Linked DNA regions of Mus musculus. The protein of the gene in region 1 interacts with the protein of each later gene in a pairwise test. Links are inferred from orthologs where the notes say so. Each region holds a gene or a part of one and is shown in the gene's direction. Other genes may lie near its edges. The genes, in order: Sec23b and Hoxa3.

Region 1 (3,816 bases):
AGTGCACGTCTGTGATAATGAGTAAATGCCATCTGAGTGTCAGTGTCAAGTAATTAGAAGAGGCTTGACCTGGCTAATGACTCTTTGATGAATGTCAGTCACACTGTCACTTTATGGGGTACACTTGCTACCAAGTCCTATTGTCCTCAAGTGAACACATAGAATAAATTCTCAGCTTGCGGTGATCAAGAACCTCGGGCTCCTGGGAAATGATTAGGAGTGTTCTTTGGCTTTCTTCAGACCCTCTCCATCCAGAGCTCTTGGGGAGCAGTGCTCTAGATTTGGGTGCTCTTGAACGTGCAAGAAGCACTGAGGTGGATCCCTGAGTCTGATGCTCAGCTGCACATTAGTGTCGCCTAGGGAACTCTGGTGAAAGGACAATGAGAGAAGCCGCTGTGTCTGTCATGTTCTCCACCCCCAGCCCCCTACAGCCTAATGCAATGGACACGGATCGTGGCTTGGGTATCAGCATTCTTCAGTTTCCCTCCAGTGATTCTAATATAGAACAGTTTGAGCACACACAGCCTTAGTTTCTCTAGGGTCCTCTTAGCCCTCATTTCCCACTTGCTGAATCGAAACCTACATTTGCCCAAGATCCTATGGACTGGAATACAATGCACAGTTCGAGGAGCCATAGCTACAGAGAGCCATGTGTGGGGCTGGAGATTCTGTAGCTCTTTTCCCTTTAACTTAAATTTTGTTTATGTGTGTGTGTGTGTGTGTGTGTGTGTGTGTGTGTGTGTGTGTGAAAGAGAGAGAGAGAGAGAGAGCATAAGAGAGAGAGAGAGCCATGTAGACATGTAGAGGTCAGAGGACACTGGGAGTTAGTTATCTTAGTTATCTTTCTTTACTGTGTGGAACTCAGATTGAACTTTGGTTGCTTGGTGGCAAGCACTTTACTTGTTGAACCAACTCCTGGTCCATACTTCTGCCTTTCTAATCAACCTCTGTAGTGATTCTTCTCTGCTCTCTTAGGGGAGGGCATAGAAGATAGGATCTAAGTCATTTGAAACTGTTTGGGAGTGGGTCAGATGTACTAGAGATGGTGGGCATACCTGTAACACCAATACTCTGGAGGATCTTGTGATCAAGGCTAGCCTGGGCTGTATAGCAAGAAGTTGTCTTTAAAAAGAAAAGCCCCCTTACCAAAAGAAAACAAAAAAGAATAGCACAAGTGCTAGCAAGATGGCTCAGTAGGCGGCTGGAGAGATGGTTCAAGGGTTAAGAGGACTGACTTCTCTTCTGGAGGTCCTGAGTTCAACTCCTAGCAACCACATGGTGGCTCACAACCATCTGTAATGGAATCTGATGCCCTCTCCTGGTGTGTCTGAGGACAGCTACAGTGTACTCACATACATAAAATAAATAAATAAATAAATAAATAAATAAATATTTTAAATAAATAAATAAATAAAAACGATGGCTCAGCAGAGAAAGGTACCTGTCTGCCACCAAGTCTGAGACATTTAGTCCCTGGTCCTCATACGTGGAAGGAGACAACCAACTCCTGCAGGTTGTCCTCTGACCTCTGTACCCTCCATGGCATATGTACACCCACACATAAACTTACTACACACATATGTGGAGATGGACACATGTAATGAGGTGTGTGGTGGGGGGAGGGAACACTAAAACAGCCTTGAAAACAACAGAAGTCCAGGTTCTGGTCTAGGAGGATGAATGCAGGCAAAGTCACAGTGACCCCAGCCTGGACTAGAGGGTAGTAGATGGTTTTCCTGGAAAATCACTGGGGAACCCTTAGTGCTGGGTTTTTCTGCTGAGATAGTATGCTTTTTCTTTTAACCATTCAATTTGGGGGCTGGGGTGGACGTAAGTACGTACATACATACATACATACATACATACATACGTATGTGATGACCTAGAGACACCTGATGGGGAGGAAGGAAATGCTGGTGACTGCTAAAATATTTTAGGTGAAGAATTCTAAGAAAGAGAGATAACCCAAAAATACTCCCCAGCTGCAGTTCATGTGTGCATGTGTGTGCGTGTGCGTGTGTGTGTGTGTGTGTGAGAGAGAGAGAGAGAGAGAGAGAGAGAGAGAATGAATCAGTAAGTTATTTTTGCTGAAGAGTTTGTTGATTGAAGGGGCATTGTTTGTTTAAGGTCTTACTGTGTAGCCCTGGATGGCCACAAGCTTACAATTCTTCTGCTTCAGCCTCCTAAGTTCTGGAGAATAGGAGTATACCACCTATTGGAATGATTATAGGTTCATGGGACTAGTGAATGTGAAGGGAGTGTAGAGGAGGTCTTTACATTCCTCATTTGGCATCCCCGAGGGTAGCACTTAAGCCAAATGTATCATTCAGCTTCAAGAATGGAAATGGCACAGTGCAGTTACTAAAACTGCAGACTGTGGGTTTCCTGCAGACTGGTGCTTGTTTTATTTCTCTGTGAGTATAACCAGCAAGATTTTACTATCTCTGTACATTTGTGTATGGTGATTAAAATATAGAATTGGCATCTTAAACGATTTTTACATCTACTTCTTTTGTATGTGTTTATGTGTGTGTATGTATGTGGATGCACATACATGCTATGGGACTTGTATGGAAGTCAGGGCCACCTGTGGGGAGCTGGTTCCTCTTCTCTACCATGTGGGTCCTAGGATTGATTGAACTGAAGTTACCAGGCTTAGTGGTGCCCTTACCCACCGAGGCACCTTCTCACCCCCCTAGAACTGTTCTAAGGGTTCTTTAATGTTTTCGAGATGGTTTCTTCCCTAAGTACAAATAGAACTTGTTGTTTTTCATTTAAGTTAATCAGTAGCATCTGTGCGGACATGGCGCTCTCCCCCCTCCCCACCCCCCCACCCCCATGCGTGTGTGTGTGTGTGTGTGTGTGTGTGTATGTGTGTAAATTGTTTGTGAATCTTAAGGGAACAACCAAATGACTTCCAATCCTTTTAAATGTATACTTTCTTCCTTTCTTATCTAGAGGCCACATGGTGATGGGAGATTCTTTCAACACTTCTCTTTTCAAGCAGACATTCCAAAGAATTTTTAGTAAAGACTTCAACGGAGATTTCAGAATGGCGTTTGGTGCTACGTTGGATGTAAAGGTGCAGTGGGCTTTTAGAAAAGTTGTATTTTAACTATCTTATATAATTAGCTTATAGAACTTTCCTATGTCCATGATAAATATTTATTTATTTATTATTTATCTGAGTCAGGGTCTCACTGTGTGTACCTTCAGCTGACTTGTAATCACTATATAGACCAGGCTGGCCTCAGACTCTGTGCTGCACTGTACTCATCCATATTACAGACATTTGAAACTTCACTGGCATTAGTGTGGTTCAGTTCAGACACTGCAGCCTAGGCTGCTAGACGTAAGCTTTAATGACCACTTAAAAGGATCCAACCAGATGGTTATCACAAAGTTTGCTTCTCAAGGGTTACCCATGTGTTTATTAAAGTCCTAAACAGAAAGTTCCTCTTTCCCCCCAGGCCCGGCTCTGTTCCACCCTGGTTTAGGATAGGGAGAGTTAGTGGGGTTTGGGGTGGGCGTTGGTTGCTGTACTGGGGCTTGATGACAGGCAAGTCACACGTGGTCAGTATCCACCCAGCTATAGGTGTGAGCCACTGCACTGCAGAGTGGGATTTAGATTTAAGAGGAACTCAGGTGTTCTGATACTGTGTGGGAAATCAGGGTCCTAGACAGCAGACTCTTAAGTAATTGAGAAACCAAGAAAAGGGGCTGTTAGGAACTTGATTAGAGAATTAGAGAAAAGCATTAAATTATCTAGGGTAAGCTTTACGCAGCATTTTTATATGTCTAAGGGGTCTGCTTGAT
Region 2 (3,569 bases), on another chromosome or scaffold:
GCCAGCCTAGGAGGAGAGAAACATCTCCAGAAATGTGCCCTCCCCGCCCCCCCCCCCCACACACACCAGGGAAAACAAATCTTTCCAGAATCTTTGCTACTTAGGAAGGTGATACGGTTACTGTGAGAGGATCCCTCAGACATAAATCTGACTGAAGTCCCTCTGGGCCTCTCTAAGGCGGTTTGAGCCTGGTGAAGTTGGAATCCCTCCTTGTTCCAGTGTTGGGAATTCTGACCTCTAGATAGAACCATCTTTAGGACCACTGTCTCTCTAAGCACACAACTCCTTTTTTCCTGGGCAAACAGTGGCATCCTCCCCATACTGAAACGTGGCAGAATAAAAGCAGGCCCACTCATCCCCCGGGTCAGAATCAATGCTTGGTCTATGATCAGAGCCAATGTTTTCTGCAGCAGATGGACTGGCTGCCTTACTTCTGGGAAGGCCTTGCTCAGTCTTAGTACAATGCAGGAGGCAGCCGGGCATCCCCTGGGGGAGGGGATTCGGCTTGTCATCCTAATGGGAACCACATGGGGCTTTGGGAACTGGACTCCAGTGGGGGAGCCTTAGCCTCAGGGACTTGGGTTTCCAAGCCTCTAGGTTACCTTGGCCCCTTCCTCTCTGGTTTCCTTTGCTCTCTCCTCCAGAACTGGTATTTGGGAAGCCAAGGAGGACAGGAGGCACAAATGCAATGGTCCAAATTGGGGCAGCCTTCATGGTGACATTGAGAACCAAATGACCAAGACTCTGTAAGGGTCTGGTAGCTAGAACTAGGTATCTCCAGTGAGGTCTAGTCTCCTTTGGTCAGAGAAGGCCTTCCAGTTTGACAATACCAATCTGTTACTCTTTTCTTGGGAGATACTGAAAAACTGGTTAGTAGAAGCTAATGGCTGGTCACACAGGCAGGATGCATGCATACACTAGGTCTCCTACATTTTCCAGCGACTGAAGGAATCAAGATAGTGGCACCCGCTCACAGGAAGCTTGTTGTCTGATGGGCCAGGAAATAAGCTGGCCGAGTAAAATAGAGAGGAAGTTCAGGCCAGCAAGGCAAGCAGGAGGCTCTGCAGCTCTGTCCTCTCCTTGAAGAAGCCCCTGATTCGCTCCTTAGAGGAAGGAAGGGCAGGCTAACCAGGCTGTTTCCGCAGACCAAGAGAGGACCACAGCACTGAAGTCCTGCTCCTCTCTGGCCTTGGACAGAGGCTTCTGTGGGGTGAAGAAAGGAGGGGCAGGCCTAGGACTGGGGAGCTAGGCGGGGTCGGTAGCAGCCCCTGACACCGCTCTTCCTCTCTGTGTCCTGGCAGGGGAGAGCTGCGCTGGTGACAAGAGCCCGCCTGGGCAGGCCTCGTCCAAGCGCGCGCGCACGGCGTACACGAGCGCGCAGCTGGTAGAGCTGGAGAAGGAGTTCCACTTCAACCGCTACCTATGCCGGCCGCGCCGGGTGGAGATGGCCAACCTGCTGAACCTCACCGAGCGCCAGATCAAGATCTGGTTCCAGAACCGCCGCATGAAGTACAAGAAAGACCAGAAGGGCAAAGGCATGCTGACCTCGTCTGGGGGCCAGTCCCCAAGTCGGAGCCCTGTGCCTCCCGGTGCAGGAGGCTATCTGAATTCTATGCATTCGCTGGTCAACAGTGTCCCATATGAGCCCCAGTCACCCCCTCCTTTCTCCAAGCCTCCCCAAGGCGCCTATGGGTTGCCTCCGGCCTCCTACCCTGCTCCCCTGCCCAGCTGCGCTCCCCCACCTCCCCCACAGAAACGCTACACAGCGGCGGGGTCAGGCGCAGGGGGCACCCCTGACTACGACCCGCATGCTCACGGCCTGCAGGGCAATGGCAGCTATGGGACCCCACACTTACAGGGAAGCCCCGTCTTCGTAGGGGGCAGCTATGTGGAGCCCATGAGCAACTCTGGGCCACTCTTTGGCCTAACTCACCTCCCCCACACCACCTCGGCTGCCATGGACTACGGGGGCACTGGGCCGCTGGGCAGCGGACACCACCATGGGCCGGGGCCTGGGGAGCCACACCCCACCTACACGGACCTTACTGCCCACCATCCTTCTCAGGGAAGAATTCAGGAAGCGCCCAAGCTCACCCACCTGTGATGATGGGCCCAGGGCTGTGAGCCAGGAGAGTTGCCCACCCGACCTTCTTTGGTTACTTTTTCCTTTTTTTGTTTTGTTCTATGTTCTTGCCTTTCCCTTTTCTCCTCTGCACCCCTCCCTCATTTTGTTTTCTTTGGTAATGCGTTTTTATAGTTTATGTGACGTAGCAATCTTGGTTGCTGGAAAGGCTGTCAGTATCAGTAGCAACATTTACCACCACCCCTCCTCGCCCTGGCCTCTGGCCCTGCATCCTTTTCCTTCTCTACTCTTTGATAAGAAACAGGGTATATGAACAAACTTTCTAGTCGAGTTTTCAATGTGAATTTGTTCATACTTTATGGCTCCCGAGAGGAAGCAACTGCGTTTTTTTTTTTTAAGTTTTAGTTTTTAAAATTGCACTTCTTGTACTGATCGAGAAAAAGAAATCAAAGGCGCTTTGAAACAGGGACTCCCTGTGCAAAGATGACTACGTGTACGTCTTTCCGTGTGTGTGTGCTTGTGAACAGTCAGATTTATTTATATTTTTTGCAAGCATTGAATAGTCTAAGTTTTAAATATTATTTATCCCCATCCGTTCGTATTTATATTAAAGAAATTCTGTACCCTGATTGTTCAGAAGGTTTCTTGAGCCTTTTGTTCAATGGTGTATTGGCATACATATAAAATTTATTTGAAAGGGAAATAAAATTCCTTTATTAAAAACCGTAGCAATGCAATAAGAACAGAGAGGACCCAGAGTTTGAAAATAGTGGTTTAGGTTTGTAACATCTGGCCAAACTGAACGCTAAAAATGCTAGATTTGTTTTGAGAGTTTTACATTCCTTGCTGCTCACATTCTGAGAAACAAAACAAAAAAAATAAAGTTTTTATTCTGATTACGATCCGTGTCAAAGGGGGTTCTTTGGCTGGACACGGGTCTCTGCGTGGAGTTCTGGCAGAAGCGAACTGTCAGCGGCTGCGGCAGCACCGCGACTCTGGCGTGAGGCCTGGTCCAGCGTCTGCCTTGGAAGCTCGGCGAGTTCTGGGGATAGAGGCCGCGGTTTCAAGTGGCTGCCGCAGCTCGGGAAATGCCAGGCTCCCGGCCCGCTGAGCTGCCTGGTTCCCAGCTGCCGCCCAAGCAGGGCGCCAGGCTGCTAAGTGCAGAGCGGCCTGGCAGAAACAAAGGCGGCCGGCCTCGGGCTCAGCGGGGGGCGCACAGGTGCGGGACGCCGACACCAAGAACCCGGGGCTCCTCTCCATTCCCCCGCACCGAAAGCCCATCGGCCAAGGCCTCAACCTTGGAACCGCACAAGGTCTTAAGCTCTTCCCACAAGCTATCGAATTCCAGGTCTCCACTGAGGATGCTTCGCGGTTCATTATCACGCCTAAAGAAGATGGGGGGGACGGGACTCTTCTAAATTCACCTCAAAAGGGACCTACTCTCCCTTAGGTCTCCAGAAAAAGGACTGAGCTTCATAGTCCTCCA

Evidence for each region.
Region 2: the proteins of Sec23b (region 1) and Hoxa3 interact in binary tests that used the Homo sapiens proteins (3 or more experiments, as listed by UniProt). The two-hybrid records come from large-scale screens. The link is inferred for Mus musculus from reciprocal best matches to the Homo sapiens genes SEC23B and HOXA3.

The regions. Positions count from the first base shown.
Region 1 is NC_000068.7:144,569,521-144,573,336, forward strand, and holds part of Sec23b (protein transport protein Sec23B), read left to right. Parts: intron 1-2,958; coding exon 2,959-3,082; intron 3,083-3,816. UniProt on the Homo sapiens protein: Component of the coat protein complex II (COPII) which promotes the formation of transport vesicles from the endoplasmic reticulum (ER).
Region 2 is NC_000072.6:52,168,475-52,172,043, reverse strand, and holds the end of Hoxa3 (homeobox protein Hox-A3), read left to right. Parts: intron 1-1,301; coding exon 1,302-2,104; 3' UTR 2,105-2,982; downstream 2,983-3,569. UniProt on the Homo sapiens protein: Sequence-specific transcription factor which is part of a developmental regulatory system that provides cells with specific positional identities on the anterior-posterior axis.